Linked DNA regions of Tribolium castaneum. The protein of the gene in region 1 binds, or shares a complex with, the protein of each later gene. Links are inferred from orthologs where the notes say so. Each region holds a gene or a part of one and is shown in the gene's direction. Other genes may lie near its edges.

The links. The genes of interacting proteins can lie anywhere in the genome.
Region 2: the proteins of thoc5 (region 1) and thoc6 are in contact, whole or in part, in a cryo-EM structure (PDB 7APK), measured with the Homo sapiens proteins. The link is inferred for Tribolium castaneum from reciprocal best matches to the Homo sapiens genes THOC5 and THOC6. Residues at the interface, in NP_001002877.1 of Homo sapiens: Pro406, Gly407, Asp538, Ile539, Val540, Asp541, Ala542, Gly543, Leu544, Ser575, Ile576, Ser593, Asp596, Arg599, Glu602, Gly603, Asn606, Val607, Tyr609, Arg660, Phe662, Arg663, Gly664, Pro665, Ser666, Arg667; in NP_001334633.1 of Homo sapiens: Val5, Pro6, Ala8, Val9, Pro10, Leu11, Gly12, Gln13, Val16, Phe17, Leu20, Gln21, Leu23, His24, Met25, Thr26, Phe28, Tyr45, Tyr80, Asp94, Glu125, Val126, Pro127, Glu128, Asn130, Gly146, Tyr170, His172, Glu188, Trp222.

What each region holds. Positions count from the first base shown.
Region 1 is NC_087399.1:3,176,370-3,180,725, forward strand, and holds thoc5 (THO complex subunit 5 homolog), read left to right. Parts: upstream 1-1,504; 5' UTR 1,505-1,603; coding exon 1,604-1,687; intron 1,688-1,738; coding exon 1,739-1,876; intron 1,877-1,928; coding exon 1,929-2,143; intron 2,144-2,191; coding exon 2,192-2,276; intron 2,277-2,322; coding exon 2,323-2,995; intron 2,996-3,317; coding exon 3,318-3,818; intron 3,819-3,867; coding exon 3,868-3,983; intron 3,984-4,031; coding exon 4,032-4,195; intron 4,196-4,241; coding exon 4,242-4,305; 3' UTR 4,306-4,341; downstream 4,342-4,356. UniProt on the Homo sapiens protein: Component of the THO subcomplex of the TREX complex which is thought to couple mRNA transcription, processing and nuclear export, and which specifically associates with spliced mRNA and not with unspliced pre-mRNA.
Region 2 is NC_087395.1:25,800,715-25,803,995, forward strand, and holds thoc6 (THO complex subunit 6), read left to right. Parts: upstream 1-1,349; 5' UTR 1,350-1,530; coding exon 1,531-1,643; intron 1,644-1,689; coding exon 1,690-2,079; intron 2,080-2,124; coding exon 2,125-2,287; intron 2,288-2,336; coding exon 2,337-2,657; 3' UTR 2,658-2,689; downstream 2,690-3,281. Other genes in the region: DNA oxidative demethylase ALKBH2, read right to left, coding at 1,118-1,133; protein rhomboid, read left to right, coding at 40-213, 266-586, 634-969; uncharacterized protein LOC103314375, read right to left, coding at 2,971-3,281. UniProt on the Homo sapiens protein: Component of the THO subcomplex of the TREX complex which is thought to couple mRNA transcription, processing and nuclear export, and which specifically associates with spliced mRNA and not with unspliced pre-mRNA.

The sequences.
Region 1 (4,356 bases):
TTTATGCCAGAAAAAAATTAGTAATGTTAAACTTAAGGTTGTTGCGCTCTTTGGTAGTCAATTCTGAAATCAACGTTTGCAAAAAAGCGTGAAATTTGAGTTTTGACATAAAGTTGAGGTTTAAAATATGATTTGAATTTAATTTTTAGCTTACCAATTTTTTCAACTTATTTTTCAATAAAAATCGTTTTTTTTTTTAAAATATCCCTTGGTTTTCCACTGTAAAAAAACAGGATTCAGTGACGAATTATATAGTAAATTTTCGCATTTAATCATTTTTAAAATCCTCTTGAAAATATCAGTTTATAATCGAATATAGTGCGGTAAAACTTTTATTAAAATAGTGGAGTGTTAAGAGCGTAACGAGTTTGGCAACAAAACTGTTTACCTAAATGAAATTCAAAGCAAAACACAAAAACACTTCATTTATGTTTGCGCAGTTTTAATAACGTTTAGCGGTGTTTTATGCCTCGAAACAATTACGAAATAATTAATCTAATTTTTTTATTTTTAATAACAAAGCTTGCAAATTTATATTTTTTGGGGGAAATACATCAAAGCTAGATGGAGCCACTTCTGGCGGCGCATTCAAATGGCGAATAAATCCCCATGCCGTATTTTACTTTGTCCCAATTGTCTCAGAACGTTTTAAAGTCGGCGTTTTCTTTTTGCGGCATAAACCGTCTGTCTAGAAAATTAAGAAATACCTCGGTGAACTAATTCGCGTAAAGTCGTGCGGAAAGCTTTTCGTTCTCTTGTATAATGTGTTTTCGGACAGGCGATAAAATTTTATCGTCGTCCAGCAATATTTCCTACGTGTGATCCTATGTAGTAGTTCTGACGCGACACCTTTTTTATCATCTTGAGAACCCGTCCACATCCTCGATAACCAATACAAGAGAAACGTGCCACTGCAAACCTGGTCCTTAGCAAAATGGATGAGTAGTCAAGAACATCCAAGTCCTATCTTAACACTGCTCGATTTTATACCTGGAGAATTTTACGAGCGCTCGCGTGTAAACAACACTTGGAAGGAGATTGAAAAATACTACAAAAAACTATTAAATTACGAAGTTTACACGATTAGAATAGCTCCTGTTTATTGGGCCAAGTAATTATTCGGGGACCGATAATTGCTTTAATTCGGGCGGAAAGCGGCAAGAAGTGCGCGATGTTTAATTAAAGCAGGTAAAAACGCGTTCAAATTTCGCGCCATTCACAATTCACCCATATTTAGTGAAATAATCACGAAAATCGCCCTTAATACAATAGTGATTACCATTTACAGTCTTGATATTAAAAAGTGCGATTTTATTTTTTTTAATGTTTTTACACGAACGACAAGTCCGGTACTCTGAATGATTATATAACGACCCAAATGTTACATAATCCGATTACGTAACAACTAATAATTGAAATTATCCAAATTATTTATAATATAAGTCGCAATGTTTGGATTTTGATTTAAAAACACAGAAATTAATTCGTTTAAACCAAGATGTGGTGTCCTGAAACAAAATGGCGTCTGTTGTCTGTCAGTTTGCGCATTTCTAACCTCAAATTTTTTGTCGGCTTGTTTACATAATCTTTTTTGCTTAAAAAAATGGTTAAAGAGTCAAGTAGTTTGAAAAAAAAGCGCAAAAGTGGGACTAGTGCCGACAATGAGGCCGAAATCGACATTTATAAAGTAATTACGCCTCCCTAATTTTGGTTATCACATTTATTGATTTTTTTGCAGAAATCGGTCGAATTTGAGGAGAAAGAGGCCCTCAATCGACCGAACGATACCGACGCTCAGATTTACTTCAACACGTGCAAAGAAATTCGGCATTTATTCGCCGAAATAAGTGAACTGAAAATGAAGAGTGGGTCTGATGTAAATTGGAATTTTGTCGCTTTTTTGTATATTTTTTGGGTGTGCTTTGTAGGTCAGGGCTAAAATTACGGAAAAAACCACCGAAGTGTGTCTATTATTGGTGCTTTTGAAAAAACTGAACCGCATGGAGAAGGTGCGTTTGGTTTTTCCAAAAGAACAATTGGCTGCGGAAAAACAAAAAGTGGACAGTATTAATTTACAATATCAGAACTTGTTGTACGAGGCTAACCATCTGATGTCGGAATATCGCAAATGTTTCCAGTTCAAGTAACGAAAACCCCCTTTTTGTGTAAACCCCCCAAAAATTTCTTTCAGGTCTAAAGACGAGCACATCGAGCTGGTCCCCGTTGAGGAGTTCCTCGCCGAAGCGCCGAAAAATTTAACGACAAAATTCAAAAAAGTTGGTTTAATTTTTTTAATTTCAAAAACTTTAAAAAAAATTTTAGTTTGATGAAACCGACGAAATGGCGAAGCACGAGCTGCGGCTCGCGCGCCTCGAGTGGGAGCTCCAGCAGCGTATTCATTTGGCCGACATGTGCAAAAAACTTGAAGAGGAGAAGAAAAAACTAGAGGGGGATATTGCCGAACGTCGCAATAAATTGGATAAATTGGGGCCCCTCTTGTCTTCGGTCATGGAGGCCACGAAACCGGTGCAGGAGCACCTGGGGCTCCACATTGACAAGATCCAGGCTGAACACAAGCTTGCCTCGCTTCTACCCAACCCCCTTTACTTGTTTTATGCCAATATTGACGCCTACAGACAGGTGAACGACTCGGGGATGAGTGTGGAGATTATGGGGGACCAGGAGGAGGCTAGTCAATGGAAGGAGTTGGAGTTGGCAGAGGATGAAGAAGAGGAGGAGGAGGACATGGAACCGGAAGCTGAGATACAGGAGGTGGAGGAAATTGTCGAAACGAAGAAACGGCGTCACCGGAAGTCGGTACATGTTGATCCACTTGAGGAGAAAAAACGCAAGTTGTTACAAGTTCACCCGCTTTCTGTACAAGTTACTGTCACTACTAAAGACGGTCCTTCAATTAAAATTCGACTAAGTTATTACGCAAAATTGGAAATCGTCACTGTATCTTCAAGCGTCAATATTCCGAGCAATATTACAGGTACTTGACCCACTATCTACAAAAATCCTCTTTTAGACAAAAAAAAACGGATAGTTACAGGTATTTTGTGAATGATAAGGAAAAACAACATAAACTACACCTTTTTTACTTGGTTTGTTTTCCGTCTCTATTTACAATTGAGTCATGTCCTGTTATTATCGGAATATGCTGAAATTTTGCATACTCACGTAATATCCGTGAGCGTGAGCAGCAAAAAATTCTTCTCGCTTTTAAAGGGAAAATCATACTTTCTTACTTTTTTACTATAATGGAGGAAAAAATGCAAATTTTTTTTAGTGACCCCCGAGTGTCTTTCTTACAGGAAACGCAGCTCGTGAGGTCTTATCAAACGAAAGCGTCCTCGTGGAGCTGGTGGAGGGCGACTTCGGGCTGGACAGCCCCAACCCGTGCACCCCTTACCAACTGAAAAAAGTCGGCTTGGGGTCCTTCCAAAGCCTCGTCCCAGAGCTTGGCTACGTCTACACGTGGGCGCAAAAAATGTGCGGCATTGATTTTTTGAATAAAATGTCCGGTTCGGATCAACTGAGCCAAACTAACGTCGAGTCGGTCATGAAAACAATAAAAAAGCGCCTAAAGTCGCGGTATGCCTTGGCGAAACAATTGGAGGAGTTGGAGCGGAATGTGATTCCTGTTTTGCCGGCTAGTGTCGATTTGCCGCGAACCACGATTTCGAGTCTTACGAAATGGTCATCAGGGACGTATCAAAGCTTTTGCGAGGCTAAATTTACGGAGGGTTTGCTAGAAGCTGAGTTAATTTCGCCGAATGATATTTTCTATAAAGCGACAATCACGCGTGATAAAGGTAAGTTTGGTGAGTCACGTGATTAATTAGTGTTTTTTTTGTATTTTAGCAAATTTGCAAGCTTTTGTTGTTATCAAGAACGATTATCCGTCAATTCCACCAATTTTTGCGCTTTGTTTGAACTATAACGGGACTAGACATTCGCAGAATGATGATAATATTCGGGTTTGTTGGTAATTTTGGGTTTTTGGGTTGGTCTCACTCGTTTTACAGGACATGGAACGGTCGATTAATGTCGATTGGAACCACGAATTTTCAAATGCAAATTGGCTTTTGTCGGCCCAGATTATGTCATTGTGTGTCGGACTGGACATTTATCTGGAAACGGAGGACCCTGGGACGTTTCAACAGAACACCATGTATATTAAATCGACTTGGTAGGGATTTTGAGTTTGTTTTTTGGGGGTAATTTTGGTTTTTCAGCGCCAGAAATAGGAGAAAGCCGTTCAAATTCAGGAATATTGGGGTTGGGGTCTACACCCAATGAGTTTTTTTTTTTGACAAATAAATGAGTTTTTTGAATCGTGTTGTGTTTTTA
Region 2 (3,281 bases), on another chromosome or scaffold:
TTAATTAAGTTTTCGACCCAAATTTGGTAAATTTTAATTATGCCACCGTCGCAAAAAATCCAAGTGAAATTAACCGACCCCATCGACCCCTTAATCGAAACCGAGCAAGTTTTTATCCCCTTTCCCTTATCACAAGAAGTGAAGAAATCGTCGCAATGGGCCGCTTGGGCAAGAAACACACCTTTCGGTATTTTGTCAGTCAGTGTTTTAGAGGTAAACCAGATTTTTGCATTATTTTTAGCTAATGTTTATGGTAATTCACCAGATAATCTTCTACGCTGCCTCGGATGAAAAAACCCAAAAACTGCTCCGCTTCGAACCGCACAAACTGACCGAAATTTGGCGATTCGTCACCTACATGCTTTTGCACGAAGACTGGATCCACCTGACTCTCAATATTTTCATGCAAGTGCTTTTCGCCTATTTTTTAGAAGCGCGACACGGAAGCGTGCGGATTCTTGTTTTGTACGTGACCGGGGGAATCACCGGAGTCTTGGGAGCGGCCTGTTTTCACCCCGACTTGGTCATTGGGGCCTCCGGGGGCGTGTATGCGCTTTTAATTTCGCACATTTCCGATATTTTTCTAGTAGGTATAAAGCGAGCGAGAAACAACATTTTTGTAATTTTTTTCAGAACTTTGAAACCTTGAATTACAAAATCTACAGATCTGCGTGTATCGGAATAATCGTCATTTTCGACATTATCTACAACGTGTTACATGCCAATTTTAAAAAGGAGCCTTTGATATCGTGGGGGGCCCACATGATCGGGGGCCTCGCAGGCCTGTTTTTGGGTCTAGTGCTCTTCAAGCAAAAACCGTCAATTGCACGCACACGGAGATTAGTTTTATTTTTGGTGGGTTTATTACTTTACGTAATTTTATTGATCTCGCTTGTAATAATAACCGTTCAGATTAAAAAATGTACTCCGAAGGATGCCATACGCAAGCGGTATGTTTATTTTTGCTGATATTTTTTTTATAACGAGTGTTTGGCTATAAATGTGCGGTAGCAAAGTAAAGCGTGAAATTACACAACTTATAGATGTTTGCGGCTATTTTTAGACGTTGGTTTTGTAAAAAAGTGAAAAATAAACGATTAAACAAACTGCTGCTTACTTGGTTGCACGCTCATCACAACACCACTAGCTCAACTGAGATTTTTTTAACGTTTTTAACACTTAAATCTGCGTTTTCTCGTTCTTTTTTTATATCTATACAAATATGTGTACGTTTTAAGGTATATTTTTTACGTTTGTTTTAGAGTTTATAGTATAATATGTTTAATTATGACATAAAAAAAACATAAATAAAGTTAGGTATGCAACTAACTTAACCGCGTTGCATGTTAAGTTGCCTGTATTAAGTCGATTGAGGTTATATTGTTTAATGTTTGGGGCTGTATTTATGTTAAATACACGTTTGCGCCCTTTGTAATCGTATAATTGGTAATAAAACCAGACTTTGTACAGTAATATTGCCTATTAAACGTGCGTTTAATTCACAAAAAGTTATTTTTTCTTAACCTCAAAATGGTGAACAAGTTGAATAAATCGTTCTATAACACTGTTTTGAGCCAGACTTTCACCCCGTGTGGCAACTATCTCGTCGTAGGTGACATTTACGGCACAATTTCGGTCTTCCAGTAAGTATTAAGTAACTTCCAGCAGCCCCCTGAACCCCAGTTCCAGCCTTTCCAAGCTAACAAACCAAGGATCTTCGATCACAAAAGAAGACCAACTGCCCAAAAACGCATTCACGATTAAAGAAGACGTCCAAATCAACAGTTTATTGACCATGAAAGCGTTCCTTGTTGTGGGGACAGTTGGCGAGATTTTGGGGTACTCCTGGAAGAACGTCAAAACGAGCAAAAAACCCTCCTGCTCGTGGACAATTGAAATCCCGAACTCCAAAGACAGTTTCGACAAACCTGACGTTAATTGTTTAGTGTTTGAGCCCGAAAATAATTTATTATTTGCCGCCTGTGGCGATAATAATGTTTACGTTTTCAACATCGAGACACGAAAAGAAGTGCGGTGTTTTAAAGGGCACAAGAATTACGTTCACTGCATCAATTTCTGGTAAGTGATTACAGGAACCTGTACTTTGGTCACATGGCATTTCAGTAACAATAAACTGGTTTCGGGGGGCGAAGACGGGCTTGTGCTGCTATGGGATGTGAGAGGAGGCCCCCCAGTGAGCAAAATCGAGCCCCACAGTAGGGATAAAGTGGCCAGGGTGGAGCTGGGGCCCTGGATAGGGGGCGTTGGGATTAACGATGATTGGCTGGTATGTCAGCAATTTTGGGCGAAGTGGCCCCCCTTAAATGATTTTTTAGTTGTGCGGCGGCGGCCCCCGACTGTCTTTATGGCACTTGCGCTCCCTGAATATCGCCACAGTGTTCCCCATTGACGATAAAGGGATTCATGTGGCGGAGGTCTACCAAGACAGGATTTTCGCAGGGGGGCGCTCTAATTTATTCTACCAAATGAGTTTTAACGGGGACATTATCACGGAAATTCCGACGTCTCCTGTGACCACGTACAGTGCGGTGCATCAGGATGAGCCCTTCCAGACTTTGTGCATTGCGGGGTCGAGCCCCAAAATCGACGTTTGTAGCAACTTTATCTACAAAAATTTGCAACTATCTCTGTATTAAGTCTTTAGTAAAATAATAAACCATAAATAATTCGTCCAGAATTTGAATTTGACAGCTGTCATTGATGCTCTTTAGGTTAGGATAAGGTACCGTTAAAGAGTCAAAAATCGCTCGAATGTGACCCCAAATCGTTTATAACCCTTATTATTTTTTTAAGAACAATTAAGTTACAGTATGGCCAAGTTTGAGTGCTCAAATTGGCGTATTATTGTGTGAAATCGCAAATTTCATATTTAAGTTGGCAGGACTGTATTAAAAGACAATTTAAACTGTTTGAAATAAATTTTTAATAAATAATTTGTACAACTTTTATTTACAAAAATCCGTGTCCGGCTATAACCGCCGGTATGAACCCCTCCTCTCCCTCCTTGTTGCGCACCCAGAACCACCCCGGCACATGGGTACCCTGGAGTACCACAACGTCGCCTTTCTGCACCTGAAGGGCATTTTTTTCGGTGCCAAAGTAGTCACTGTTGATGACTAGGAGTGTTTGTCGTTGGATTTTGCCACGTTTTGAGGATGCCAAAGCGCTGAGGTAGAGTCGATCGACGCTTCTTTCTTCACAGGTGCTTGAGGGGCGCAGTCTTCGGCTGTGGCAGCGCGTCTCGACGCTACATTCCGACT